Pelodiscus sinensis: one gene and its partner. The protein of the gene in region 1 binds, or shares a complex with, the protein of each later gene. Links are inferred from orthologs where the notes say so. Each region holds a gene or a part of one and is shown in the gene's direction. Other genes may lie near its edges.

Region 1 (15,321 bases):
GCTGGGGGAGGGGAGGGGCTAGAAATAGCATGAGAAGTCTCCTTCCCTTCTCAGCCATGCAGAGCTGAGAACAGCTGGCTTTCTAAAACATGAACTGATCTAAGCGTTCTAGCAAAGGGATATGGTGGCTTGGCAGGCCACATCTGGCCCACTGGCAGCCTATTGCCCACCCTGATCAAGACCATTTAGTATGGATCTCAAAACACAATCCACATTTTATAGTCAGTTCATGTAATTGATTAAATAATCAAGCCCCAACAAATGATTTAAGGTCATAAACCCTGAATCTTGTTCTCAGTAAAATCAAGAACAAATGCTTATCTGGTTGTAACAAAAGTAAAGCATTTCTCATCTTGTTACCCTTTAAATCAAGAGGCTGTGCCTCTAATTGGACAGGATGAGCCTAATTTTACTCTGAAGATAGCGATTTGCTGGACCAGTTTCAATTTGAAGCAGCTGGTATTTAATATTGCCTGGATCTTACTTTAGTACCAATTGTATTTACTGTGATGGTTCCCAAGAGATACTCAGGGGTGGGAGGCACCTCATCACTATCCACTGTTAGCATGAAGTAATCTTGTCTTTGCCTGACATGGATCACCTCCTGAAGTCAACAGCCTCTGGCAGCAACAGGCACACACAAATGCCTGAATACCTGGGAGTGTTTCCTGTAGCATCCATCCTCTGAATGTTACAAGATTACTAGTCTCCAAGTAACACTGCACACCAGCTCATAAGATTTGATTTAGAATCACCACTTTGCTTAACACTAAGACTAACTTTGTTTCCAATACAGGCAGTCCCTGAGTTACACGGATCTTACTTGTTGGATCAGCAGTTACAAACGGGGCTTCTCTCGCCCCGGAGGACTGGAGTAGCAGGACACCTAGATGCGCCGTTATCCCGCCGCCCGTGTCCTACGGGGTGAGAAAAGCTGCTCCGCATCTTCCTGGTCTGCTTGGGGGGAGGGGGGGGCGCCCAGCAGACCAGGGAGAGGCGGAGGACCGGGGCGGCGGGACCGTGGCACGTCTCGGTCCCGCTGCCTGCGACTCCCTGGTCTGCTGGGGGGGGGGTGGCGCAGCTAGTGTCCCCCCCCCCCCCAGCAGACCAGGCTTTTCTCGGGACCCCTGTGGTAGAGCAGCTGGGGCGCTGCCAGTTGGTCCCACAGCGCTGCTTTTGGTGCTACTGGACCAACCCGGCAGCACCCCAGTTGCTCTGCCCCAGGCGTCCTGATTCAGCCACTGCTGAAACTGTCCAGCAGCTGACTACAGGAAACCCGGGGCAGAGCAACTCTGCCTCGGGCTTCCTGTAGTCAGCCGCTGGTGAGTTTCAGCAGCGGTTGAATCTGGACACCAGTTCCGACTTCCATACAGATTCAACTTATGAACAAATCTACAGTCCCTATCTTGTACGTAACCCGGGGACTGCCTGTACTCAGTCACTTTACTATAGTATCAGATATAGCTAGAGAAATTAATGAACAAAACTACATGCTTTCCAAAGAGTAAGGAAGTTAGTAGCCTTTAAAGGCTACTTTTTTCAACCAAACCCACTGGATACCCCTTTTAAATGAAGTGAAGGCTCTCTTTCTCAATGAAGGGTCCCTACTTGAGTATCCCTTCTGTCCCCTCAAATATACTCAAGCAAACCTTTGATATGCACCTCAAAGAGGTTGTCTTCCCTGTTATGCATTTCTCTTCCTGTTTTTTCCCCTTACAATCCTTCACTTGTTTTCAGTTCAGAGGAATGCTAGGGGACTCAATTCATACATGAACACATCTCATTCACAGTATCTCATGTCCACTAGATAAAACTGCTCTTCAGGCTGATATGGCTAATTGCTTGGTTAGCAGGAACAGCTGTTTGCAAACATTTTGGTGGTGCCCAGACTGAATGGGAGAGAAGTGAGGCCTCTGGACCAACTCCCCAAATCCCACCCCATGACTCACCTGAAGGCTTTGAAAGGGAGTTTGGGTGGGGTAGTGGTGTGGACTCTGGTGGGTTGATACAACAAGAGTGCAGGCTCTGGCAGAGAATGGGTGCACCACATTTAATGGGACACCCCTTCTGGCAGTTCAGGGGTGGGGGAGAGCCTTCTCACACACATGCAGGCAGCAGTCCTGATGGAACCTAGCACCAAGCCACGAACATCCCTGGTGCTGGAGAACCACACGGCCCATATAACTCGCCATCTGTTTTTAGGCAAGTACTCAAAGTCTGGTCTCATCATGTGTGCCAATTTATTTTCCAGGAATTACACTCAGTCTCAAATCAAAAAAGGAAGAAAGAATATTCAGACTGTGCAACTGAACTTCCATTTTGGCACCTCAAGTGAGTGGCTGGGGAGTTATTGCCACTTTCCATTTTAGGAAGGAGTCAAAACCAAGGATTGCAGTAGAATCCAGAAGCATTTGAGGCCTGCTCATCAACCCACGATGGATTTAAACTCTAAATACTGGAGGGGAAACCAAGTCTGAGCAAATTAAAAATATTTGCAGAAGTTCAAAATAGGCAATTTACATATTGCTTATTTTTGTAACAAAAGCTTAAAGAATCACTCATCCTTCTGATCGGTTCCCTGTGTACTAGAGCTTACCTCTGTTTTCTCTGAGAAGCAGACAAACTATCCTCTTTCCTTTTCCCCTTGAGGGTCTCCTGGTTTTTCTTCAAATTTTTCTGGCGGGCAAGTTCACGCTGATTCCCACCTACACAATATCCAAGTTTATATATGTGTTGCAATTGCCATTCCTTACCTCCACTCTAAGATTGTATACTGACAGAGTAACATAGTACTTCAAGACAAAACTCAGTAAAAATCATTATTAAAACCACTCTTCGAGGTTTCTCTCTCCAAGTTTAGATTCACAAGACAAATTCTGCAAAGCAAAACAGCAACACTTCTATGAAGCAAGGAAGTGCTAGAGCTTCCCAAATTTAACAAAGAGAATTTATATTTTCCCCTGTAGAAACACCCAAGGCTATGTCTAGACTGCCATGGTTTTCCAGAAATGCTTTTAATGGAAAAGTTTTCCATTAAAAGCATTTTTGGAAAAGAGCGTCTAGATTGGCATGGACGCTTTTCTGCAAAAAGTGCTTTTTGTGGAAAAGCATCCATGCCAATCTAGACGCTTTTCCGCAAAAAAACCCCGATCGCCATTTTCGCAATTGGGGCTTTTTTGCGGAAAACAAATGAGCTGTCTACACTGGCCCTTTCGTGCAAAAGTTTTGCGCAAAAGGACTTTTGCCTGAACAGGAGCAGCATAGTATTCCGCAAGAAGCACTGATTTTCCAGTAGGAAGTCAGTGCTTTTGCAGAAATTCAAGCTGCCAGTGTAGACAGCTGGCAAGTTTTTCTGGAAAAGTGGCTGATTTTCCGGAAAAACTGGCCAGTCTAGACACAGCCCTAAATGTTTTGTAAAAGTGTTCTTAGGCACTTCAGCTTCAGGCAGACTTGTGGCATGGAAGAGTTCTGCAATATATAAAGCAGTTCACGCTAAGTTAGAAGTAAGTTTGGAAAGTTTAGATTTTTCTCTCTCAATAAGTGTTGATTTCACTATGAAGGGACAAAAGTATGAAAATAATCCAAGTTTAGTTTAGTCCAATTATTAAAGTTTTACACATACCAGGCCAAACCTGTAAGTTCGTTACACACTGAACATTAGGGGTATATCTACATAGTAGTGTTATTTCAGAACTGATGTTATGCCACAAGACCAGTCCTCACCCACACTACAAGCAGTTGTTTCGACATAATATTGAGCTGGAGAAATTCTTACTCTGACTCCTGTAGCCTTCATTTTACAAGGAGCAAGAGAAGTTGGAGAAAGACTGCTCTCAGACTTCCTGCTATGTAGACAGCACCAAAAGCTGAAAGCTACTTCAACTTTAGTAGCTCAAGTGGTTTAGCTTATTTTGGCTTCAGTCCTGCTGTACAGATGTGCCCTATGATTGCTCAGTATAGCAGAAAAGTCTCCAGAACCACTGTGCCTTTTCAATGGCTATTTTAGGACAGTCAACAAGCAGTATACTCATGCCCATCTACATTTATAAGTACTTTTGAATTGGAGGAGATGGTACAGTACACATCCTCCATGCCTGTTTCTGGCTTCAAATTGTGCCCACTACACCACATCTCTTCATAAAGAGATTGAGAGCACCATTTAACTGGCCATAAGCCTACACAGCTTCCTTTTAAGGCTGGAGGGCATTTGTGAGAAAGTTTGCTCTTAACCCAGTTCTCTCAGAAGCTTGAATTACTACAGTGAATCCAAGCTACAGGTTTAGAAAGGGAGCTGAATATAACATCTCCCAAATTGAAATTCAAAACAGACAACTTCAAGGACAAGGACATTGTCTCAGTGACCTGATTACCTACATCCTACTTCAAAGGCCTTTTAAGACTACACTTGAAAGAATCCTCTGAACTGTCATTCATGCTTAAATTTGACACTTTACACCTAAGTTTGAATAAAGATGCTAATTATCTTACCCATTACAAAGATAGCTTCCCCAATTATCACCTCTAATATCATTAGCTCACAGACATTTACCTCCCCCTCCCTCATCCCCTTTCTGTTCTGAAATTTGATTTGTCCTTTTCATAGGTGTTCTTTTGTAATTGTATCCTTTGGTATATATGGTTGACAATTTTCTTCCACTATTTGATCTGAGGAAGAGGGTCTGGCCCACGAAAGCTCATCACCTAATAAACCATCTTGTTTAAAGTGCTACATAGTCCTGTGTTTTGTTTCAGCTACACCAGACTAACACAAGCTACATTTCTATCAACTTAAATGAAGTCACTGATAATTACTACTATAATGTGTACTCCAGTTTTCCATTAATACAGTCAAATGGCACTCCAACACCTAATTCTGAGCAATATGGCTTCCGGCAACACCTTCTAGTTGTGGCACAATTTATGTTTTCGTTTGCTTTTTCGCCAATTATTTTGCTTAATTAATGAAGACACCATCTGACAGGGATTAATTAAGCAGGGTTGCTACTAGATAGTTAGTAGCCATTTAAGGACATTCCTAGCCTGACAGCCAGCAATTAAACTTGAGTTACTAGCTTGACTGACCAGTGGCTCTCACACAGCCCTGCAAAGTCCACCCAGGAGAAAACACTGCTTTGCTCTAAACTGCCCACACCTGTCAGACTGACTTCAGGGACAGCATTGAGTGTGGGGACCCCTGTCTTCTGTAAGCTGTGCGCTTCAGAAATGTAAATGCTACCAGGCTGATTGGAGCTAGGCTTGGTTGCTAGTGGCGGTGCACGGTCACACACTTCAGGGCACATAGAAGTTGTTTTGCACATGAAGGAATAAGAATCCACAGGTGGGTGGACGAGATTTGTGGGCCCAGGCTGGGGACCCCCGTCGGGACAGGCCCCACCTTCACAGCCACTGAGGTCTCCCTCCAGGAACACTCATCTTACAGAAAGGAACAAGCGGAGTCACCAGGGAGCCAGGTCACAGTGCGACAGCCAGCGGGCCCAAGTCCGGCCCGCCGCGTTCACCCGCGCCGGTACCGTGGAGATCAAAGGGAGGCCGCCACCCCGCGGGCCCGGCCGCTCCTGCCGCTGGAGGGTGGACGGGCCCGCTATGGCGCCGAAGAAGCCTGCAGGGCTTAGCGGGGAGAAGAGGCGCCTCGTGACGGGCCCGCCCCAGAGCCGGTGGGCCCCGCTCTCACAGCCATCCGCGGGGCCGGCAGGCCGATACTTACGGGCCATCTCGAGGCAAGATCCCGGCCACGGCGCACGGAAAAGAACCTCAACCACTTCACCCAGGCACTGCGACTGCCAGAACCTTCTTCCGCCGCCCCCTCAGCACCTTATATAGGGAAACGTCTCTAGGCGTCACAAATATGCAGACGTCACCATACCGCCTCCTCATCCCCAAGCTTTAGATAGGAGCCACCGAGCGGTGGGAGAGTCGCCAACAATGCGCATGCGCAACCAGCTGTGTGTACAGCCTGCTGCTGCTTTGAGAGGCTAGGCTGGGCTTCAGTGAGTCTGTTGTGCTGCGGTTGTGGACATGCGCATTCAAACGATAGTCAGGGTGTGTCCGAGTCTCCTTCTTGTGGTTTCGAACGTTTTCCTCCGAATTCCGGAAGATTTTTTAAATGGTTTTTAAATCTCGGCTTGACAAAGCCCTGGCAGGGATGATTTAGTTGGGATTGGTCCTGCTTTGGACACAGAATTAGACTCATGCATACCTCCCCAGCAACACAGAAACATCCCAGTCCCTGTTCAGATAACAAGGGCAAATGTATTATAAGGAGAACATACAAACTTATCTGTTTACATCATAGTATCATATTGACTTCTTTTTCATTATGGCTATTTTTCACTCTATTTTAAAATCTGAACAATTTTTCAAAACATTTTTTAAACTAACTTGGGCAGTTTTCCTCTGTTCCATTTTTTTCTTTTCTTTTTACAGAGTTTAGAACATAACCATACTGGGTCAGACCAAAGGTCCATCTAGCCCAGGATCCTGTCTGCTTCTGCTGACAGTGGCCAATACCAGATGCCCCAGAGAAACAGAGGCTAGGGATACCATTCCTACCCATCCTGGCTAATAGCCATTTATGGACCTAACCTTCATGAATCTATCTAGCTCTTTTTTGAACCTCATTAAAGGTCTAGCCTTCACCGCATCCTCTGGCAAGGAGTTCCACAGGCTGACTGTGCGCTAAGTGAACAAAAACTTCTTTTTGTTTGTTTTAAACCTGCTGCCTATTAATTTCATTTGGTGACCCCTAGTTCTTTTATTGTGGGAATAAGTAACTTTTTCTTACTAACTTTTTCCATATCAGTCATGATTTTATAGATCTCTATCACATCCCCACTTAGGGTATGTCTACACTGCCACCGTAGTTTGAACAAGGGTGGCTAATGTAGGCATTCAAACTTGCAAATGAAGCCTGGGATTTAAATATCCCGGGCTTTATTTGCAAGTTCCCGGGTGCCGCCATTTTTAAATGCCCCGTAGTTCGAACTCCCTGCCCGCGGCTACACGCGGCACGGACTAGGTAGTTTGAATTAAAGCTCCTAATTGTAACTACCGTTACTTCTGCAATGAGGAGTATAATGAGAATAATTTCCTATTAACGCATGGCTCAAACAACATCCTAGGGTTTTATTTACAAAAAGCAGCAAGGAAAGAATTAGTGAGGAAATGCTTGCTTAAACTACTATTTACTTGTATAGAAGTAGTTATACCACAGGACACAAGGCCTGCATCTACACTTGGTTGTTGAAATGGACAGGCTCAAGTTAGAAACTTGGTGCTGGAATTCTCTACAAATATCTTCATGAGCTAGAGGATGAGATTTCCCAGTGAGCCAACTCACAGTTTACCTCATAGAACCAAACTCTAAACAAGCCACTGTTATTGTAGTTCTCTCTGTTAGAATTTATTATTTTAATTACGCAGCTCAGCTTTCCTTGCCATATTTCACTTCATAAGAAGGCACCATTTGGTTGCCGCTAAGGGTGGCTCACAAGAAACAGGAGCAGAAAAAAATTCTGATAAGTTACTTTACTAAGAATAAGAATTGGTTAATAAATCTGTGACATTCTCAAATATATTTACTTACAAGCTGCTTTATACCAGAAAAAAAAAAAACCCCGCAAGCACATTGTTTTGAGTGCCCAGAGCAGCCAGTAAGGAGTAAATGATGGGGAGGGGGGGGGGGGGAATGGCTCGGCTGGTCACTCCTACTGGGCTTAGGGTTAGTTCCATCTGGACTGGTAGGGGGGACAGACGGGAGACTCTCGTCCCCTGTAAAGAGCAGCTGGAGCAGGATCACCTCCAGAAATGTCCCTTGGCTGAAGGAAGCTGTGCGCCGTCTCCTTCCTGGCCCCATAGCTCCTCAGCCATGGAACGAGCTTCTCCCTCATCTACCGAACCCCTGTGCATCTGCCTCCCCCGCATACCCACTGGGATGCGAACAGGTAACCCGTTAACCTGTGCTTTATAACTCGCGATACGCAGCGCTAGCTTGTCCCTTTCGGCGCTCCGTCCTACTAGCTGTGTTCGCCACCTCCGCTGGTTACGGAAGGGGGGGAGGACGTTGTACTTGCTCGGGCTTTTGACGCGTCACGTGGCCGCGTGGTTGCCCCTTTGCCGGTCGCAGGATGATGACATTTGGATGCGCCAGGCTCTGTGCAGGGCGGGGTGCGGGAGGCTCTGCCCGGTGTGCGGCAAGGGAGATGAAGCGGCGGCGCCGGCGGAGCGAGACGTTCGGCTCTAGCGCTTTCCTGGCCGCGCGGGAGTGACCCTCGGGCTGTCACGGGCCGCGCCGAGCGCTCCTCTCCCCCCTCCCCGAGCGAGGGAACGGGGGCAGCCGGCACCATGTTCCGCCGAGCCCGGCTCAGCGTGAAGCCGAATGTGAGGCCGGGGGGCAGGGGCGGCGGCGGCCCGAGCGCCCCGTCGGCCCCGGAGCCGCAGCGCGGCCAGGATTCCGCGTCCCCGCCGGCGAGGACAGAGCCGCCGTCTAGCGCGACAGCCTCTCCCGAAGCCGCTGCCGCTCCTCGGCCGGACCCCCCGCCCCAGCCGGAGGGGGAGCAGCCCGCGGGCAGGTAAGTCCCGCAGCTCGCGCAGTCGCGCTGTGTAAGGGGGAGCCGGGAGGGCGCTGCTTGGAAATCTCACTCACTCCTATCGGCTCCCCGTGCCTGGAAAGCTCTGGGAGCTGCCTCTTTACCATCATGGGCAAGAGCCTACGTGCCCCAGCTCTCCACATTGTGCTTCACACCGCAGCTCCAGTGCTTGGAAGCTGTCAAGTGCCCAACACTTCTTCCGCGTTTGTCTCCCTTTATTGCAGGAGACCTTTTTCTTGTCTGAAGGTGGTTCCCTCATTGGCTTGGGTTTGTTGTGTTTGAAGTTGAGAAATGTATATTACTGCAGGATGAGAGGGCACTATTGGCTATGTCTAAGATTATGAAGAATGCAACGAATACCAGCTCTTGGTTTAGAAATAAATGTCTATAGCAGTGGTTCCCAATCTTTTTGATATTGGAGATCAGTAAACCCATTCACAAGCTTTTGGAGGACCAGTAACATTTATTTGCATATTTATTAAGCAAATGATGAATATGCAAATAAATTGTGTTGCTGGCCCTACTTGTCTGGAGGGTTGTTCCGCCTCTCCCCCCCGCCTCCTGGCCCCAATCCTGGCTGCTTTATCAGCCGGTGCTGGCTCCCCCAGCTGCGTCCAGTGCCGGGCATTCTGCATCACTGTACACAGCACCCGGCGGGTTGTTCCACACCCCCCTCGACCCAAATCCCGGCCGCTTTATTGGCCAGCGCTGTCTGGTGCTGGGCGTTCTGCATTGGTGTGCACAGCACCCAGCCTTTTCTCTGTGCCCTAGTGCCCGCCAGATCTAGCCCCACCACTCGGGAGCATGCCTGGCAGAGACGCCGCAGTGGCAGGCTCTCTCCCAAGAGGGCCACGCTGCTGCGCTCAGCTGCGCGGAGTGCTGTTACCCCATCACACAAATTAATAGGATCGTGCGCGATAATTTTTCTAAGGACTGGTATTCGTTTTTTAATAGGACCAGTATTCCTTTTCTAACAGTAGGACCAGTACTGGGCCGCAGACCACACTTTGGGAAATGTTAGTCTATAGGTATCTTTTGTACATATATATTATTACTTTATATCATAGTCTCCAATCTTGCAATGATAAACATCGTGTAGAAGAGCCTGAAGTAAACTGATACCTGCCTAGGTTCAGGGGTTCTCTTAGGTGGAAAACAATGCTGGATTGGGCCGCAACTTTAATATTTATGGTTGAAATTAGTACTTTGGAGTTTAGTGTTGATTTCCCAAGGGCTGAATAATTTTCTTTTTTATAAGTACAAACCTATTTCTATTAGTATATCAGTAGCCCCTAGGAAGTTATCATATCTGCTTTTCTATCACACCTTACAAACATAGAGCACTAGAAACTGTAACGATGATTAAATCTGTGACTAGATATTGCTTTTGATTTGCATGGTTCCCATTGAAATCAATGGTGGAGGTCATCAGCATACAGTGTAAGAAAAGTATACTGCTTCTAGTCGTGTAACACTGAAATTTGAGGTAGGGAGGTTAAATTTAAATTAATGGGCTAATCGAATAGTTGATGCAATTTGTGTCAGGCTCCATGCAGTGTTTCAAAGCAGTAGTGCTGACCTTGGGCTCCATGCAGCACTGCTGCTTTGAAATGCCAAATGCAGCCCGGGGCCAGCTGAAGACCTGGGCTACACACAGTCTTTCAAAGTGGCAGGCTCTGGGCTCCATGTGGCATTGCTGCTTTGAAGCACCCTTTTTCTGATAGAGGCAGCAAGGAGGGGTGGGGGAAAGAAACTAGTCGACTACTTGTTCATATCCCTAATTTGAGGAGGGGCATTAATAAACAGCAGAAAACAGTTTTATGTACCACAATTTTGGTGGCTGTTTATGAATTAGGATGAACAACGCTTTCTTGGATTTACACCTAGAGTTAAAGAAACAGTCTCGATTAAAATCACTTAGTACTTTGTCCATTTTAAAGTGTCTAAATGACTTTAGCTCAGAGTTTGAAAAATATACCTGACATTTTATGGAATTGTTTTTTATTCAGACTTGACATTCCTGATACTTTGAAAGTTAAAAATACAACCAGGGACAAACCTTCCAGGCCTCCTTTATAGATCATTCAGAAACACAAAAAGTGCACAAGTCTTAATAAAAAAAAAAATCTTTTCATTCACCACTGTTGTATAGGGATGTCAATGTGTAGATGACTACACAATTAACCAATAAGCCTGGGCTTATCAATTAATCCCGTTGACTACATGCATTTCGCCTCCCCGCATATCAGAGGCAGCAAGGTTGGGGGAGGCAGGAGCTGGTGCCTGTGAGGAGTCAGCTTTTAAGATGGCTCCCCACGAGTACCAGATTCTGTTGAGCTGCCTGCCACCCCCCATCCCTGCACTGCTGCCTCTGATAAAGGCTGCTGCTGCCCCATGCTGCTGTCTCTGGTACGGAAGCACAGGGTGGCAGGCAGGAACTTGTCTGTGCAGGGGATCATTTTTTAAACCATATCCTCTCGAAAGAAGCTCCTGCCTGCCAACCTGTGCTGCTTGCAGTGACAGGGGACTTTGTGGGTGTGGAGTCGGAGTACACTGACTCCAGCCCTGTCCCCAGGGACTATCGAATAGTCATGTAGCTATTTAATGTGATTACAGCACTATTCAATTACACACTATCTAATGTCCCTGCTGCTGTATCTTGACCAAGCAATGATCAGCAGTTGAGGCACTGGACTGGTCTGCAGAGTTAGGAAGATAACAGTGCTTTGGTTTGCACTTTGGTTTGTGTTGGGAATACTGTCTTTGCAACTTGAAGTGTTGAAAAATATAGTTTCATTTTAAATAAAAGTTTAAAATCGTACTCACCTAGGAAAGGCTGCTGACTATACTTGGTATAGATAGACAGTGAAACTTGAGTGATTTCTTGTCAGTTTCACTCAGGGTTTTAAGCATTTACATAGTGATATATTTGGGTTGCAAATACTGCAGAGGAATTTGATTAAATTAAGACTTTTTCCTGACATCTAAAATTGTAAAAACAGTTGTTACATCTGATTTTATTAAACACTTTTATACAATTTCAATTTTGGGCATTAACTATTCTCCAGTATTTTATTACACTTATAGATCACCAGGTATGGTGAGACTGAAGGTAAAGAGCATTTCATAAAAAAACGAGTCTGACTACTTAAATGTTAATCACAACTGCTATGAACTTAATACTGTTTTGAGGACTCTTATTTTTGGAAGATTGAATATTTTCTTAATGTACAAGGCAGCATTCAATGTGTTTTGGTTTGGTTAAATATGGGTTCTTGGGTAAGGTTCTCAAATAGTAATATTTTTTCTTTAGTACTGTATTTAGGCTTTAGATGTACTCCACTCAATGCCATCTTAAAAGTAGCAAAACTATGATTGTAAGGATTAGAGTAAAATATGTTTTAATTTTCTACAGAGATGAAAAGACTGGTGGTGCAAATGATGACGAAGTTAAAAAACCTGCAGATACACCCTTACAGAGAAGAAAACGAATATCCACTATGCCTAATCTGGCAAAACCCAGAGTTACACTTCCATCTGCACAACGTTCAGTATCAAAGTCTTCTCAAAAACAAATACCTCAGTCTTCTGTTAATGGTAACTCTTCACTTCAGAAGGAATCAGAAAAGACCAATGCAGAATGCTCTCCAAAGTCTCCCATGTTGCCTGAAAAGAAAACACCTGTCCCACAAGTGCCACAATTTTCTCCACTTAAAAAATCAGTGAGCCGAGAGCCAAATGTGAGTGTAAGTGCTCTAAAAAATGATGAAGTTCTCCAGAAGAACTCACTGTGCCCTCTCAAGGAGAGACCCTCCCAAGGGAGACCCACACAGGGGGAAATGCCACATACAAAACCACCTCTAACAAAAAATAAACAAAAGTGCTCAGACCGTGAAAGAATCCTCAAAGCTCAGAAGTTAAGAGAGATGCTCAAAGAAGAGCTGAAGAAAGAGAAGATGGTAAGGTCCTGCTTTTGGCACTTGGGGCAGATCAGAAACGGAAAAGGGGATCAACATTTGCCAGGTCCCTGTGGGTCAATTCCAGTATGTTCTGCTATTTTAAAGCGACTGTGATGTCAGCAGCATTGTACTGGCAACCTGTGCAGGGTGTAGTAGCTCTTATACTATCACAAGGAGTGAGTGTTCTTTGGTATAAAATTGATAATTTTTTTTAAGATGGTGATGGGGCGGTTCTATTAGTGGACCTTCATCTGAAGACCCCAGCTAACATGTCAGTCAGAATGCTGATTTGTTTTTACTATATACTTTTATAATTAGTAATCACAGCAGATGGGATGAGGACTTGGCTTTTTTGTTATGTAGTCAACTTCGTTGACTCAGTTCTGTTACCTTGGACAGCTCACTTCACTTCTATTGTTCTATTAGCTCAACTGTAAAATGGTGAATGTTGGTTATTTTTTGAGGATGTTAACATTTAATAACTATTCAACCTCATGAGAGTCTAATGAAAACAGAGTAGAGCAGCACAATGTAAGATTTGTATGTTTCAATAAAGAAGACAAATATAAGAAGGGGACAAAAGGCAGCAGTTTTCCTTTAGGTGGCTAAATCAACTTGAAAATTAATTTTTAAAAAAATGGTTTCATATACTATAACAAGTCCTTATTCTCACTGCCAACAACAATAATTGAAAAAAGCCACACACAATAGCAGGTCAGGAGCATTCATAGTTATCTAAAAGTGCTTTTAACTATTTTTTAACTAACAGTTCATTTTTAGAAGTTGAATCTATCATTTATATGAGAACTCAGCAGCTGCAATCCTGTGGAAATACAGGCAGTCCCCGGGTTACGTACAAGATAGAGACCGTAGGTTTGTTCTTAAGTTGAATTTGTATGTAAGTCGGAACTGGCGTCCAGATTCAGCCACTGTTGAAACTGACCAGCAGCAGCTGAATCGGACACGCCTGGGGCAGAGCAGCTGGGGTGCTGCTGGGTTGGTCCTGCAGCGCCACTCCTCGGCGCTACTGGACCAACCCAGCAGCACCCCAGCTGCTCTGCCCCAGGTGCTCCCAAGTCAGCCACTGCTGGTCAGTTTCAACAGCAGCTGACTTAGGGACGCCTGGGGCAGAGCAGCTGGGGTGCTGCTGGGTTGGTCCAGTAGTGCCACAGCTCGGCGCTGTGGGACCAACCCGGCAGCCCCCCAGCTGCTCTACCCCAGGCGTCGGCGAGAAAAGCCTGGTCTGCTGGGGGGGAGGGGGCGCACTAGCTGCGCCCTCCCCAGCAGACCAGGGAGACGCGGAGCGACTTTTCTCACCGCGGAGGATGCGGGCGGCGGGATTGCGGCGCATCTCGGCGGTCCCGCCGCCCGCGTACTCTGCGGTGAGAAAAGTCACTCCGCATCTCCCTGGTCTACTGGGGGGGCGCTAGCTCTGCGTCTCCCTGGTCTGCTGGGGGGAAGCGCTCCCCGCGCCGCCAGAGGCGGCGACAGTGGGGGAGGCACCCCGCACTAGCTGTGCCCCCCCCGTTCGTAATTAGGAGTCCGACTTAAGTCGAACTGACGTAACCCGGGGACTGCCTGTATGTGTTTTATTTTGAATTAGGCAAAGGTAAAACACTATCTGAAGAGCCTTAGGCTTCTTGATTTAGCACAACTCAGTTGTTCTAGTCTCTGACACTAGTGTCTTGGATTCTGGATCTACACATTGAAACCCACTCAGAGCATAACATCTCTTGAGAAACCAAGTCAAGTGAGGTTGATGGTGTCTTTGAGAAAGGGATGCTGTAAATAAGTTACACAATTTGTTTTCTCTAACATGATTGTAAGTAAAGAAAAATCTAAATAAATGTGTATTTGGTATGCAGAAAAGATGGCAAAATAGACCTACAATAATTGAAGGAAAAACTCCACCAGATCCTTCCAAAATGACAATGAGAGACTTAATATACTACCTGCCAGAAAACAATCCTATGAAGTAAGTACAGTTCTTTTAAAGGTAAATTATTTTTGTCTGTGTGTACTCATTTAATCCTATGTGAAAAGTACTATACAGCTAGTCTTGAATACTGAAGTCATGTTTATCTGTAGAACAGATAAAAGCCTGAGTAGTGGCAGGATAAGCTTGTGAATACTGTATCGCTATTACTTTGTATTTGTATTGTAGTCGGGAGTAGGGTCTTGAGTTAAGTTCTGTACAAACAAATGGAGACATGGTTCATGGTCCATACCCTGAAGTATTTCAATGTAAACAGACATGTAATAAGTGAAGAATGGGATGATAAAAATGAAATATACATGAACTTATGTTTGAATTTTCCTTAATTTTAGGATGAAAGTTTCCTTTCAATGTAGCCATCATAAATTGGCTGATTTTAATAGGCATCATGGCAGAGATAGTGAGATTGAGAGGGGAGTGATAATATGTATCAGTTTGGACTATTGGTGTTCCATGCATGTATTGTAAGACTTTTGTCACAGTGATTTTTAGTAAAAGTCATGCACAGGTCACAGGCAATAAACAATATTTCACAGGAGTCCAGACCTAGGAATTTTACTAAAAATAACAGAGGGAAGCAAGCTGGAGGAGGAGGAAAGGAATGACACCTGGATCCCCATGAGCTAACTAACCACCATGGGGGAGGGAATACCTCTCGCTACAGACCCTGGTGAAACCATGGGATTGGGGGACACAAGGGTGGCTCTGGCTTCTGTTAAAGCCATGGCGCTGAGCGCATGGAATGGTGGGGGGGCGCACA
Region 2 (15,542 bases), on another chromosome or scaffold:
GCTAAAGGACTGAACTCCCATCTTGTTGTTCAAACTTCACAGGTAGATCATGTGACGCTACTGATGTTTTGGTACCTGCTACCTACAAAACAGTCACCTTTCTGTGTCTCTTGCAAAAGTTGATTCTACTTATCTGGAGGCCAGTTAATAATTATACCAGGTCTTGAACACATAAGCCAAAAATACAATAGTCAGAAGTTTTCCACCTTTCTTTCTGGTAGGCTGTAAATATTTTCTCACCACCTGGGAAGCACTGTTAAAGAAACTGATTGTAGGCTTGAGATTCATGAGGCTCTGAAGGTTTTTTTTAAGTCTTTTCTCAGTGAGACACTAATGGTTCTTGGCTTTTGAATTTCTGTAATTTAGTAGTACTGAGAATTTAGCTTAAGGGTTGGGGTTTAAAAACTGAACCATGTTCTCAATCTGAGAAACAATAGTTCTTAAATATGATTTAAGTTGTGCAATATAAGTCATCACATACACTAATCCAAGCATTTGATTGCTGTGTTCAGATAATTATATTACAGAAGTTGGAATGCTCTCCAGAAAGAGGTTTTGGTAACCATAAGTGGCCTTATTCTAAATCTGTAAAATTGGACGGCATTTAAATCTACGTGAAAATGTGATTTGTACTAGCCAAGTGCCTGCCTCTCATTTTGGGAAGGGAAGTGCCAAGCCTGTGTAAATCTAATGGTGAAAAATTCAAAGCGGTGCTCTGAGCAGACTCTTCAATGCAACAAAAATCAAACAAAGTTGCACTTGCCATCTTCCTAGAGGATTAAAGAACAGGTATGAAATATAGACCATGTAGTGGTCTGAATTGGGAGCTGTTTTGTTTCATAGCCATCGTATTCCTGATTTGAAGGTGGTGGTTCAAACTGGGGGGCAAACAGCGCCACACAGTTCACTCTGTATCCTGTATAAACATGTATGCACCTGTGTCCCTTGTGGTATAGGTGCTTAGTTTGTTTATGTTGCTATGCACAGCAAGTCATGTGATGACTTTTATATTGTGCCACTCAAGATCAGATTTTCAAACATGCTGTATTTGGGAAACTAGGATGTATGTAGCTGATTTGTATGAAACCTACATTGGGTAAATATGTGGATAAAGTAAAAGGCATATGTGACATGGTTCTCTTAATAAAGGAACATTCAAATGGTGTCTTAAAAATGTCTAGTTCCCTGTAATAAGATGTGGTTGAGAATGTTAGAATAAGTTTTATTTGAAGTGTAATTAGAAGACATTGTGCTGCTATTCTGCAAGATAATCTGATACCTCTGTCTGAATCATTTGCCTTAGTCTGCTGTAATTATGCAGTGTGCTATGGGATATGCATTTCTCATGTATATCTGATAACAAACAGCAAGACACCAATAAACAATCATTTTAGAAGGCTTACTCCAAATCATTCTTTTAGGATAGCGATGATAAGAATCTTCAGGAAAATTCAGCACTTTGATGGAAAGTTGTGATTTGTATTCAACATTAATTTGTATCCACACTTAATGTTGGGACTGAATCTTTTTTTTTTTTTTTTTTTTTTGGTGGCAAGCGCTCAATTTTAACATCTGTGTCACAGCTCTCAAATTGGCTTCTTGAAGGCAGAGAGGGTTAGTGATACAATATTACTTTTGATAATCTGTTTTAAGATCCAACATGTATTGTGAAACAATAAAAACAACAACTCTACCCTTCATCCAGGTGAAAGGTTCCATTAAGTCTTCCCCAAAGTTGAGTGATGATTCACCCATAGTTTAGGAGGGCACAGTTTCACAGTATTCCTTACATTAGAGCACTTTAATGACAGGTGAGACTAGTTGAATTTCCTGTTAAGACTTTTATTAGTCTAACATTCAATAGTTTCACAAAATGCTGGAGACTACTGTACATTTTTCTCAGATGCTGTATTTTGTAGTAAAACCTAATTTATTTTAATAAAAGAAATGTATGTTTACTGGAATCAGTATGAATGAATATATATGCTGTTCTGTGTATTTGTAAAGACTGACTTGTGATTATAAAAGTTCTGTATAAGTAAGGCTTAACTTCCCTATCATACAAGGTTCCTTCAAGGAAAACCATAAATGAAATAACTCTTAATACTATGAATGAAAGATTTAAGGTTTGTAATGTTCCTTTTAGGGCCTCGGGTACTTAGTCGTAGTAATGAGTGTTTGAGCAGATGACTTCAGGTCAGGGGTAAGTTTCCCTATCCCAGACAATATGCATGCAACTAGCTATCTTCCACTGAAAATGACAGCTGCTTGTGCCTTGAAATAGTGTGGAAGAAGAAACATCAGTTTCAATTGCCTCTATGCTACTGAATTGTAGCTGTATCTCACTTTACAAAACTGCCTTCAGGACTTGATTCCATAGCTTGCCAACTGTATGAGAGCTGTGGAGATCTCTATTCTTTGGTGCCTTTTGAGCAGTAGCTAAACATTCTGAATTTGAAACTGGTGTTATCATAGTGGTTGGACTTGCTTTATATTCTAAACTAATGTGAACTAATCCAATGAGCTGAAGTGATTTTTTTTAAACAGTTGTACTCCTGTTGTGGTATTAAGGTACACCTCCAGCAGCTGCAGCCATTGTTAGTAATATTGCACCTGCTGCTTTAGGGAAAAATACTTCACAAAGATGTTTATCATTAACCAAATACATTCTTATCTTGAGAGAGCTTTAACCCTATGGTTTTAATATTTGCTGATAACATTCCACTTACAGTTCTGATGTTCTGCTTCCAAAATGGGACCATAGAATTTTATTGGGGTCTTTTATACCAGTTGTAGCTTGGAGTCTGTCGGCCAGAAGGTTATTTGGTTGCTCTTACACACTGAGGCTTGATCTCTTGGTTGCAATCTGGTATCTCTCGTTTACTGATGAGATTTGGGCACTGCCAGGAGAGAGAGTGGTCCTTTGCAGGCCATTCTGCTACTTGATTAGCTGTAGAAAAAGTTGCACAATCTTATTGTACCTTGAAATGTTCATTGGCAATGTTGTTTGAAGGGTTTTAGTATACAAAGACTGGACATTTTATTGAGCCAAGGTATTTAATATGAATACTCATAAGATTATAAAGCTTTTTTCCCCCCAAACACCTGTACAGTTCCTTATTGAATGTTTAATATTGAAAGATCCAAATGTATTTTTATGTTTATATTTTCTGCTTTGTTAGTTTGGGTACTTCTTGGTTTTAAAACTGACATTCTCTTTTATGGAACACTAAAATAAAAACTTTTAATTCAGTGTTTGAACACTCTTGGTTTTTTCACTGGATTCTGAAAGTGCTAGAAAATGCACAAGGTAGAATGGAGAGACCTCAATGTAATGGACAAATTGCTAATGCATATAGTTTGGTGAACTGTTCTGCAGTGGCCCTGCAGAGTGGAATAAATCTTTTCCATCATAGAGAAAATTGCATTAGCTATAATCTCAGTAGTTCCTAAAGCTTGCATGGTGAAATCATTTTATGCCATACATGATTGCTTACAGTGTACCCGAGCCTCCTATGGTTAAGGCTCAACGGCTGAAGTGAGAGAAGCTGGGAATATAGGTAACTTAATGTCAAAGGATAAAACAAGGAGGTGAAACTGGCTTACCATTAAAGACAAATGTTGTTTGTGTGCTACGAAAAGAAGATGTTTAAAATGTAATGTAGTATCTCCAGGCAATTCCGATTCACAGACATATGGTCCTCAAATTTTGGCAGCCAGTTCATATTTTCTGCGTGTTCAGACAGTGAGTCTCTGCTTGGCAAAATACCCGCACTTGATAGTTGTCAGCAGAGGATGCTTGATATAGTGATGGGACACTATCTTTCCTTTCCAGCTGAAGTAAGTTAAATTGGTAAAAAAAGCTGGGCTGATGTTCAAGAGAGAAATCCACTTCGGAACAAGTGCAATGCAGCTGGGGCAGGGCAAACTTCTTGTGCTCTGTTCTGGCCCTGTGCCCCAGTTCGCCACTCTAGAGCTGAGAAGGCAGTTACATCTTCAAGGCATTTTCAGTGATTGATTCTGCCAACTAAGTCTAGCCATGATGTTTTTCATGTGTATGTCTCTTTATTGGGAATTACACAGGATGCTAACTCTACAGAAGCCAAGAGAAACAATGTTAGGTTATAGTAACTGGGGCTCGATATGCACAAACTACAAGTATAGCCATTACCCTGTCCTCTGAGCCAGCTAGACACTGACTGCAAGTTGAGGCTCTCTTGTCTGGCAACATCTCTGGTTGGCATGATTTTAGTTCGCTGGATGTCCACTTACCATGTGTGTGGCCAAGTTTCCCTACGGTTCCATAAAGTTAATTTACAGCCACCAGTCCTGGCTCTCAATGTTCTGTGCTGTTCAGCTCTAATTTACCCCCTCAATGTCTTGTAAGAGCCCAGCAAGCAGTGGCCATGTTGGTGATGCTGCTAGACTGGGGCGGCCAACCTGAGGCGAGGCTTGCGAAGAAAAAAATTGCAGCTCCTGAGGAAGGGGAGGAGAGGGGGATTGGGTTGGGGGGAGGGTGTGCCTAGCTTTGGGGAAGGGGAGGGGGTGTAGGGTAGAGCGGGGGGGGGTGGCCTGGCTCTGGGGAACGGGATGGGGACTGGGTTAGAGCATGCTTCTTTTCCTCTCCCCTAAACAGCTGGCATGCTTCCTGAAATGCCGGGTCTGTCACACCACTGGGGCCTTTTCTCCCTGCTGCCTGTACGGTGTGTGTCGTCCCCCCCCCCCCCCCCCCCCCGCTCAACAACTTGGTTCTTCATGCTATCTCCACTGCTATTGTGGCTCTTCATCTGGAATGGGTTGGCCACCACTGTGCTAGACAATACTGACCTCCTGCGGTTTGGCAAATTCTCTGGTTTGGCACCAGTCTGGCCCTGAGAGTGCCAGACTAAAGAGGTTCAACCTGGACAATGCAACTTGATGATTTTCCTGTTTATTATTTGTATACCTGATTCGAGGGTGGAGGGGGACAGTTGAAAGACGTAGTGCATTGTGATTCATAGGTTCCCGGTACATTGAGCTTTTCAGGTAGGCAGAAAGTGAGTAGAAAAGACTGCTTACTGCCTGTTCCTCTCCTACTTTGGCTTTGCCTTAGAGTGGGGATACTCAACTTTGGAAGCCCCAAGAGCCACAGTGATGCAGCACATGCTGAGGGCTGCAACGTAAGTGTTGTTGCCTATATCTATCTATCTATATATAGCTTTTCGCACAATGCCCCGGCACTCCCCACACCTCCTCCCTGGGGCTAGAAACACTGACACCCTGTTACCCGTCAGTTCCAGCCAGCCCGTCCTCTTGTATCTTTCAAATGCTCACCCCTCCTGGGAAATGCCTCGCTGTTGTGGAGCATGTTCCCAGTGGAGGCCATGTTCAATGGATCCCACCTGCGGGCCGTGGATTGAGCCCCATGTAAACCCAAACTGCACTGTGGGCCATAAACGGGCGGTATGCAACCCAGGGGCGGCATGTCGAGTAGTCCTGCCCTAGAGGGATGGGAACTGTCACTATCTGCACTGAGTCCATGGTCAACACCCTTTCTACACTGGTTGTCATGCAGTGCTTTGGGCAGTAACTTTCAGATATTTCTCTGTCTCATAGATAGGCTCTGTCGACTTATGCTGCTGAACCATGGGCTGGGAAGCCTGAACAACAAGTTCAGCAGCATATGAAGACTGTGCCTATTTATGCGCTAGAGAGTTACTGCTCAAAGCATTCCATTAGAACCAGTTTCGTAAGGGTGTCAGTCCTTCAGGAGCACTTTAACTGCATTGACCTTTAAATCCTCTTCACTCTTTGGTCAGTGTATCTGGGCAGCAAGAACAAGGTGGGAGAACAATCAGTTTTCCTTTGTCTCAGTCAGATCACTTTGGCCCGATGTATTTGCCTTGTAAGGAGAACTTGCATCCCACCATAATAGCCTCCTTAATATTTCTCTCAACCTCTACTCCCAGGCATTGTTTCCTTCAAGCCATGGATCAAACTAGCTATTAAGGTCCTCTTGCAGTCAGACTGAATGGTTCTCTCTTCTGCCAGGGCCATCAGCAGTAATGCACTAGGAAACCTCGAAGCCAGCACTGAATAGAAATTAACTGATACTTTCAAGCATTTCAACCTTGTGTAGCTCTAATGAGGTATTGTAGTGACTTGGAAGAAAGCTACTCAAATGGCCACTCTCTTGCAGCAGCTGCTTTCACCTGGACTTTGCTGGAGGAGGTAAATCAGAGCTGTCTACATCCTGGGAAGCAGGGTTTGTGGTTTTACTTTCACATGAATTCTCTGTGGCGTAGTGGGGGGCTGTCTGCTCTGTAACCCTGGGGTCTCCCTGTGCTGTGATATGTGATTCCCACTGACTCACCCACATGTGTGTTAACCCAGGCACCTAGGCTCAGCTTGAGGAGATAACGGGATTCCCAGGGGGAGAGAGACAGGGAGAGAGGCGGAGACCAACACCAGGTTTCGGGGGAAGGCAGTTGCTGGCTGCAAAACATGAAGGAAGCAGCCTTAGCTGAGGGTCTTGTGATGATAATGGACCTCCTAATCCAAGGGGTGTGAGGCCTCCTGGTCCTGCCTCCTGAAACAGCATCCCGTCTATGCTGGGCTGTATCCTGGAGGCGCAATAAACCCTTTCTATACGGCTGGTTGGCAGAGTCTCATCTTGCTGCAGACGGGGTGCAGGATCAGGGGGTACTTGATGTGCCACTATATTATTTTACTGTCAGATCACTGCTGATTTGCACTCCATCACTGCTCCGGCTCGAGCAGGAACGCCTTGAATCAACTGTGCAAGGCTCTTCAAGCTCTAGGACAGGGGTGTCCAAACTTTTTTCAAAGGGGGCCAGATTTGAAGAAGTGAACATGCGTGAGGGCCGTCCCCGCACTCTCAGCCCCAAGGCGGAGGGCCCGCAGGGTTGGAGGCGGGCGGAGAGCGCAGGGCACGCCGGCCTCACGGCAGCCCGGGGGCAGGGCGAACCCGCAGCCGAGTGGGGGAGCGGGGCTGCGGATGTGCCCTACAGGGCAGGCTTTAGGACCGCGGAGGCCATGGGCGGCGGCGGTGGCGGCGCGGCTGGAAGCGGCGCGCTGGGCGCGCCAGTTCAAAAGAGCGCCAGGAGAGGGGGAGGAAGCGGGGGCCGTATTAAATCGGAACACGGGCCGCAATTGGCCCGCGGGCCGGACTTTGGACATGCCTGCTCTAGGAGATAGGGTTGCCAGGTGTCCAGTATTTGGCTCAACAACTTTGGTTCCCCCCCCCCCCCCCCTGCTTTTTTTCCCTCAACCAATTTTTTTCCTCACCATGTTCAGTATTTTTTGTGAAACTATCTGGCAACCCTACTAGGAGAGACGGGGAGGAACAGGGTTGGAGCACGAATCAGCGGATTTGTGACACTCCAAAAGTGCTGAGGGCAAGGAGTAGAAGTGCAGGGCCCTAGTGTGCAAGAGGCCCATAGAGGAAGGGGGCAGAGAGGGGGTGCGCAGCTCACAGGCTGACCACCACTAGTCCTGGCGCTCACTGAGGTGGAGGGCTGTTCGTGCAGCCCACTCACTGTTCTTGGTTGCCCTTCACTGGCTTACAGCATGAGCCAGGTCATGGCTTTTGGGTTCTCTGCCTGGGACCTGAGTCAGGCCCTTTGTGTGTTCCCTGTCTCCCATTCTGCTAATGCCCGGACTCAAGCACAGTTCAGTTGCTCCCTAAGGTGTGGCAGCTGTAAATGCAAAGCGAGCGTGCCATCTGCTGGTCGACCCTCCATGTAGCAGACAGCCAACCCATGCCCTCTCAAGATGGGAATAGTGTCTAGACTGTTGAAATTAGAGAAGTATCCGGGGGGGAGGGGTTGCAGGAATTGCTAAAGGATTAACAGGGTACAGGAGCTGCCCTAGATGAACTGCTGGCAACTGGCGCTCTAGGCGAACCACACGATTGGTGTGCGGTCGGTGTCCGTCCCCCCCCCCCAAACCCTTCAACGGCCATTTATCTTGGTGTCCTAGGCGACGGCCTAGTTTGCCTGTATTGACGGGTGCCACGGAAGGGGTAATTAAATGTCAACTACTTGTAAGAGGCGGTATGAGCTTTCATGGGCACAGCCGCTCATGATACCATCTCCATGTGTTGGAGCTCCAGGGGGTAGCCGAGTTAGTCTGTTACAGGAAAACGACAACCAATAGTCCGGTAGCACTTTATAGACTAACAAAACATGCAGATGGTGTCATGAGCGTGCGTGGGCACCGCCCACTTCTTCAGATGACCCGAGTTAGTCTGTTACGGAAAAAAACAACACACGGTCCGGTAGCACTTCATAGAGTAACATGGTCTGTGCGTCTAGAAAGCGCTCCCAGCCCCACTGCTGTTTTCTGTGCAGCTCACTGGCTACCCCCTGCGGCTACCTCTAAGAGGTTTGCCTTCCAGGAGCCAGAAGCTGCAGGGGACCGTGGGTCACAAAGGAAAAGCTGGGATGGGGGGAAATCAGGGGAAAGGTATTTTTAGAGTCGCTTCCCCCTCTCTGCCCATCCCTGGGCTAGCCCGGTCCGGGGGGGCGCCCCAGGCAAAGCCCCGAGCAGGGGCCGGGCGCTGCCCCCCAGAGGTGGCTGCATTGCAGCTGCGGTCACTGCCGCGGAGGAGGAGGAGGGGGGGGGGGCACTGGCACCGCCGCCGGCCGCTTCCCTGCAGCGCCCCCTGGGGCCCGCGCGGCGCGCTGGCGGGCGGAACGCGGGTGGCGGGGGAGCGGCCTCCGCTCGGACGCCGCGGCGCGACGGACCGGAAGTGACGGCGGCGGCCGGGCTCTCCCCGCGGGCAGGTGCAGCGCTCTAGAGCCCCCCCCCGCGCGCCGTGCGCCCGCTCGACTTCCGCTGGGCGAGGTGAGCACGGAGGGGGGGCAGGGCACGCGCCGGGGGGGGCCCGTGGTACCCCCCCATTGTAATGCTAAATCCCCACATGCCCCCCCCGGGACCCCCCAGGCTCCAGTCACCCCGGGGGGGGGGCAGCAGGGAGGCGAGGGGCGGGGCTGGGAGCAGACGGGCACGGCCCCCCCCCCCCCCGTACTCAGCAGATGGGGCCTGGCTGCTCCTCCCCTCCTGGTCCTGCTGATGCGGGGGGGGGGGGGGGGGGGCTCGGCCCAGGCAGCAGCCAATGGCGGGTCCGGTGCGGCGGGTGAGCCCAAGGCGGGGGCAGGCGCCGGTTGGTACCTGGGTGGGGGAGGATCCCGGTTAATCCGTTAAACGCTCGGGCTGTGTCTGCACTGGCGCCACCTTGCGCCAAACCGGCCGCTTTTGCGCCAAAACTTGCCGCCCGTCTACACGGTCCGCGGGTTCTTGCGCAATTAAACTGACGTTCTAATGTATGAAATCAGGGCTTCTTGCACCACAACTCCGATGCTCCCGCTCGGGGATAATCCCTCTCGCGCAACTGTTCTTGCACCAGAGGCCAGTGCAGACAGGCAACATGCGCAAGAAACTTAAGAAAGCCCTACAGTTAAAATGGCCATGGGAGCTTTCTTGCGCAAGAGAGTGTCTACCCTGGCAAGGATGCTCTTGCGCAAAAGCACGTGCCAGTGTAGACGTTCTCTTCTGGAAAAGTTTTTGCACAAGAACTCTTCCACAAAAGAGTTCTTGCGCAAGATCATGCCAGTGTAGACGTAGCCTACATTTAACTGGTTAACTGATTAAGCATGGAATCCCAGCGGAGGATCACTCCTGTCTGCGCGGGATGGGATGGGAGCAGGCTGCTAGCTCCTGACCCCTGCACGGGCTGTTCCTCAGTGCCAATTAACCAGTTACCTGTTCACATCCCTAGTATGTGTGGGAGGGGACCTGTGTTACAAATCTGTACCGGGCCTATAAATATTATGCTTGGTCTGATGCAGTTTAAACCTGATTTTTTAAAAAAACAATTTGTATGGAAAACTTGAAGCCACATGACAAGTTTGAATGAAATGGCTGGGCTTGTACAAAGGAAGAGTTTTGTATCTGGCCCAATTCATATTTGCAGGTTCTCAAGATGTCGGGCCCGAGAAAATGCCCTGATTGTGGCTCCTCTGACATCGTGGACGATGCGCATTATGCTCAGAACCAACTGGTGTGCGCTGACTGCGGGTTTGTTCTCACCGAGGGGCTCTTGACAACCACTTTCCAAGATGAAGAGCATTTACAAGGTCAAATGAAAATTCATTTTAGTTTATAGAAGCATGTCAGAATTTGCAGGATTTATGTTGTCGTGAGGATGTGGAGATAGAGATTTTAAAAAACTCCAAACCTACAGCTCTGAGTAATGGGTATTATTTTAATCAAAAGTCTTTTTTGCCCTAAAAACGGTGTGCAGAAAAAAGAGTAGGAGAGAAACTACTGCTTTAAACTTTACAAGGCAACAAGAACAGCAGTCCTGGACAGATGACTCTTAACCCATGATTCTTACCCCAAATCAGCAAGATTGCAAATTTGACTCCCTTTCCCCCAGCTGTATTACAGACAACTAGTCTTGGGGTGGGCAGTAATTTTTGATGGGGGGGCATTCCATGATTTAGGTAAATAGTCAAGGGCCATGCTTTTCTGTGGAGGGGTGTGGGATCTGGGATGGAGGTTGGGTGCAGAAGGAAACTCCGGATTGGAGGGTGGGGTCTGAGAGGGAGTTTAAGTGAAGGAGGAGGTTGTGAGTTGGGGTAGGGATTTGGCATGCAGAGCCCAGGAGGGGTGGGGGTGCAGGAGTAGATTTTGACTTGGGGGGAGGCGTGTAGGAGGATGGTGCAGGGTTTTGGAGGGAGTTGTGACCTGGGGGAGGAGGGATGCAGAGGGTTTGGGTGGTGATATGGGACACAGGATTGGGGATCAGCAGGGAATGGGGTGCCAAAGGTAGGCTCCCTGGACTGTGCTTACCTTAGGCAGCTCCCAGCCAGCAGCCCAACAGGGGCCTGAAGACAGGCTCCCTGCCTGCTGCAGCCCCAGGCTACTCAAAACAACTGGAGGCTTCCTCCATGTGACGCCCTGTGCTTCGTGCTCCTGGGCTAGGTCTGCACTAGCATGATTTTCCGGAAATGTTTTTAACGGAAAAGTTTTCCGTTAAAAGCATTTTTGGTAAAGTGCGTCTAGATTGGCAGGATGCTTTTCCGGAAAAGTACTTTTCCCGGAAAAGCGTCCGTGACCAATCTAGACACGCTTTTCCACAAAAAAGCCCCGATCGTCATTTTCGCGATTGGGGCTTTTTTGCGGAAAACAGTACTGTGCTGTCTACACTGGCCCTTTTCTGGAACAGTTTTCCGGAAAAAGACTTTTGCCCAAACGGGAGCAGCATAGTTTTTCCGGAAAAGCACTGATGATTTTACATTAGATCGTCAGTGCTTTTCCGGAAATTCAAGTGGCCAGTGTAGACTGCTGGTAAGTTTTTCCGGAAAAGTGGCTGATTTTCCGGAGTAACTTGCCAGTGTAGCCACAGCCCCTGTGTATGGTGGGGGGGACACTTTGTGCAGTGCCCCTTCCTCCAGGCCAATCATCACAGCTCTCATTGGCAGCGTAAAAAGTCCCCCCTCTCCTCTTCTCCCCGCCCCCCTCCATTGGGCATGCCTTAAGGGAGCCGCCAACCGTTTTGAGCAAGCTAGAGCCTGCCTTGGGGTCTCAGTGACCTGTGGGCCAGATCAAAAGGCTTGGTGAGCCGGATTCAGCCCACGAGCTGTATCTTGCCATCCCTGCACTAGTCCTGCTTAGGGGAGCTCCTGCAAGCTTCTCTTGCGTCTCTAGTCCTGGTTTTAACTTGTGCTTCCCCAGCCTACAGGGACATTGCTTTGGCTGTCTGCTGTAACATTCTGCTCCTGTTTGTGTGAAAATGCCAAAATATAAAATTGTGACTTTTTTGAAAATGGACTCACTCCATCACCTTTCGAAGGAAAATAATCCTGACATAGCAGCCATGAAACCTGCCCTTGAGTCGTATGAGACACAAGCAGGTTAAAAAATCATTCATTAAAAAACAAACGTTCTTGCCTTTTGTTGCAAATAGAATCCTGGATACTATGGGTTTGTTTAGCTGAAAATGAAAATACACCGATCAGTTTCATTTTCTGACACTCATGCTGCAGTGAATACTGTGATGTTTGTATTACATCAACTGCAGATTTTTCTTACATAAGAACGGCCCGATGGGGTCAGACCAAAGGTGCATCCAGCCCAGTGTCCTGTCATCTGACAGTGGCCAGTGCCCGGTGCCCCAGAGGGAGTGAACAGAACTGGGAATGATCAAGTGATCCTTCCCTGTCACCCATCCCCAGCCTCTGGCAGAGGCTAAGGACACCATTCCTGTCCCTCATGACTAATAAGTATTGATGGGCCGATCTTCCATGACTTTATCTAGATCTTTTTTGAACCCTGTTAAAGTCCCGATCCTCACAACATCCTCTGTTTAAAACAGGTTTACTAGGAATCTTTAAATATGTCCTGGAAGCATTTCTATTGGGCTGTAAAGATTTTGTACAAGATTATCGTTTACAAATGTACATTTTAAAGCAAAATTATTCTGACACAAATACCCATGTTGCTTAAAGGCAAGTGGCTATCATCAGTATCATCTTGCTCTCTTTTGTTTCATAAACTTTATTTGCAGATTTCATTGTTGACTCCCTTAAAGCAGGGTTGATTGTGAGGAGGATTGTGTTTATGCTATATAGATTAACTGGATCAGATATGTACTATGTGTAGCTCTCCTTTCCCCGAGGTGAGGAATCAATGATCCACATGAGTTGTGGCAGAAGATCTCGAAGAGCTACAGTGTAGCAGGCCTCAAGCTCATTTATGAAAGAATTTCTGTAGTCACTGCAGTAGATCTATTTATATTGTAAACTGGCAGCAGCGCCCTTTGCTGGCAAGTTACAGAGAATCAAAGACTCCAACCATGAAGACTGAACACAGTTCACCCTAGAGAGTCTGTCTTTTAGTTCAGGATTGAGGCAGAAGGCCTGGGGCAAGCTTGAGAGAGTCTCCACTGTTGTCATCTGTGGTGCCTATGCTGTGAGCATAAAGAGAATTACCAGCTTTGGAAATTGAAATCTGGTGCCTGCAACTGCCCCAATCCTAGCTCTCGCCCTCCTCTCTATGCTGGAAATGACTGCCTTGCCTGGTGCTTCTTGTTTTCCAGAAGTGACGTATTCACGGAGCACTGGGCAGAATGAGCAGCTGAGCCGCTGTACGCAACGAGGTGAGAGCTTTTTTTGACTGTTCCTTTCTTGCCGCACTGAGCCGCTGGCTGGCTCAGAAGAGACACGTCTCAGACTGCGCCATCTCCTCCTCTTCCTCTTCCTCTTCCTGAAAGCCACAGGGAGCCTCTGTCTTTTCACACGCAGCTAGTTCTGAGCCCTGGGGGGACCATTGGGAAAACTTCCCCTGCTGCATGAAGAGAAATGGGCTAACGTTGCCGGGTGCAAAGTATCAGAATGAAGTTGCCCCACTGCCGTGCTGCTCCCGCCTGGCTTTGGCTGAGTGCTGTGGTACCATGGGGAGGCGCGTTCCAAGAAACGTTTTGTGCAAATGTTTAAAATCCTGTTTAATTGGCTAACCGGTTAAACCAGTTCACCGATTAACGAGGACATGGGTGGGGGCTGCTCCAGCCCCACTGCCTGTTAAGCTGGGGTGTAGCAGCCCTCATCTCCCACTGCAATCAGATGCTGCTAGCGCCCAACCAGACAGCCTCTGCCTGTGGGGTGTCCAGGCTCCCCGTGGACAGAGGCTGCTCCGGACGACCAGCATGGCCTCTGGTTGGGCCATGAGCATGGCCGTAGGCAGGGAGCTGCAGCCCATCGGTCAACCGCCTCCCTACGAATGTTAAAACGTAGCCTGGTGCTTTCCCACAGGGATCAAGCGTGTCCAGGATCTCTGCAAAGTCCTGCGTCTCCCGGCGGTGTTTGAAGACACAGCCCTGTCCTATTTCCAGCGAGCAATTAAGCACCCCTCCTTCCACTTGGTCCGCTTGGAGAAGAAGGAGATTCTGGTGGGCTGCTGTGTCTTTGTGACCTGCCGGCAGCACAACTGGCCCCTGACCATGGGCACGATCTGCTCCCTGCTCTACGCAGACAAGGAGCTGTTTGCCAGCGTCTACCTAGCTGTCCTGAAAGAGCTGGAACTGGACGTGCCAGCCCTGAGTCTGATGGATCTGGTGAAAACGCACCTCAACAGGTAATGTGACCCCTGGGGGGTGTTAAGGTGTTTCTTTGGGTAAAATGGACAGTGTGTTTGGTAGGCTCCTGGTCATTCCGGACATCACCCCTCCCCTTGCAGCAGATGGACTTACTGATCTGACGGCTTCCTGCTCGCCAGTCCCCAGTGCCGCATGATAGCTAACGGTCTCTCTTTGCTCTCTCAGTTTCAAGCTGTTCCAGAGTTCAGCCAGCATCCCTGCCAGATTTGCCGAGGACAAGGACAAGATGGTTGCCCGGACAATCCAGATTGTGGAGCTGGCCAGCGAGACCTGGCTGGTGACCGGCCGGCATCCCATTCCCATCGTCACGGCTGCTGCCTACCTGGCGTGGCAGTCGCTGCAGCCCGCGGGGCGCCTCAGCTGCCCCTTCCCTCGCTTCTGCAAGCTGGCAGGCACCGACCTCCCACCGCCGGCCCACCTGAGGCTGAAGGAGCTGAACGACATCCTGCTGAGAATGGCCTCCCAGCTGGCCTGGCTGCGTGTGCTCCAGGTGGACAAAAAGACTGTGGTCAAGCACATCGGGGACCTGCTCCAGCACCGGCACTTCCTGGTGAAAAGCTCCTTTAGCTCGGGAGACGCTGAGGCTTCCAGTGCCACCGCAGCGGGCCAGGGCTCTGAGAGTTCCCCGCGTGTGGCAGGGTGCGCTGGCCAAGCGGAGGGCTGCCCCCCGGGGGGCAAGCAGAAGAGCAGCACTGGCCAGAGGCCTTTGCTCCCACCGTGCCTTCTCAACCCCAGGAAGAGACTTCGCACAGCAGCCCCGAGTCCTGCGGAGCAGGCAATCACTGGGGATGAGGCCATTTCAGACAGCGAAATAGAGCAGTACCTGCGGAGCCAGGAGGAGATGCGGGAGTTCCGCAAGGCCCAGGCCCGGCACTGAACTGACCCTCCCCCCAAGCGCAGCCCAGCTGTCTCTGCTGGCTGACACTCTTCTCATGGGAGAAATCGGCTGTGCTGGGGGGAGGCGTTGTCGTTAAATGGCAGCGTCTCCTCGTTCTGCTGGGGCAGAAACAAGCCACCCGAATGGCTTCGTGAGCAGGACTTGCACAGGGAACCGGTTCCGGGTTAGAAATAGCCATCCTGGCTGCCAGACGCGCCGGTGGGACTTGCTCTTACCAATTCACAGTGAGTTCCTGTGTTGAAAGCCAGATGGTCTCCAGCATCGCCCGGTGCTGCCTTTACGCCTGAGTCTGCGTCTGTGCGCTCAGCCAAGGCGGCCGGAGCCTGGGTAAGTGGGTCTAGCTTGCCTGTCCGTAGAAGCATTCGGATTCCTTGCGGTTGTCTCCGGGTGGGACACTTCCAGTTTGGCAAAAGGGCTGCGGCTGCGGCTGGGGCTGATTGCTTTGCCTTTCCCAGAGTCATTTGCATGAGGCAGATCCCTGCA

What was found.
Region 2: BDP1 (region 1) and BRF2 share a complex: the UniProt entries of both Homo sapiens proteins name them as parts of the TFIIIB complex. The link is inferred for Pelodiscus sinensis from reciprocal best matches to the Homo sapiens genes BDP1 and BRF2.

Annotation. Positions count from the first base shown.
Region 1 is NC_134716.1:81,685,613-81,700,933, forward strand, and holds the start of BDP1 (transcription factor TFIIIB component B'' homolog), read left to right. Parts: upstream 1-8,130; 5' UTR 8,131-8,361; coding exon 8,362-8,588; intron 8,589-12,021; coding exon 12,022-12,565; intron 12,566-14,430; coding exon 14,431-14,540; intron 14,541-15,321. Other genes in the region: SERF1B (small EDRK-rich factor 1), read right to left, coding at 2,597-2,705, 5,726-5,732. UniProt on the Homo sapiens protein: General activator of RNA polymerase III transcription. Requires for transcription from all three types of polymerase III promoters. Requires for transcription of genes with internal promoter elements and with promoter elements upstream of the initiation site.
Region 2 is NC_134738.1:15,024,861-15,040,402, reverse strand, and holds the start of BRF2 (transcription factor IIIB 50 kDa subunit), read left to right. Parts: upstream 1-9,112; 5' UTR 9,113-9,118; coding exon 9,119-9,139; intron 9,140-9,976; coding exon 9,977-10,139; intron 10,140-13,105; coding exon 13,106-13,165; intron 13,166-13,817; coding exon 13,818-14,139; intron 14,140-14,326; coding exon 14,327-15,038; 3' UTR 15,039-15,542. UniProt on the Homo sapiens protein: General activator of RNA polymerase III transcription. Factor exclusively required for RNA polymerase III transcription of genes with promoter elements upstream of the initiation sites.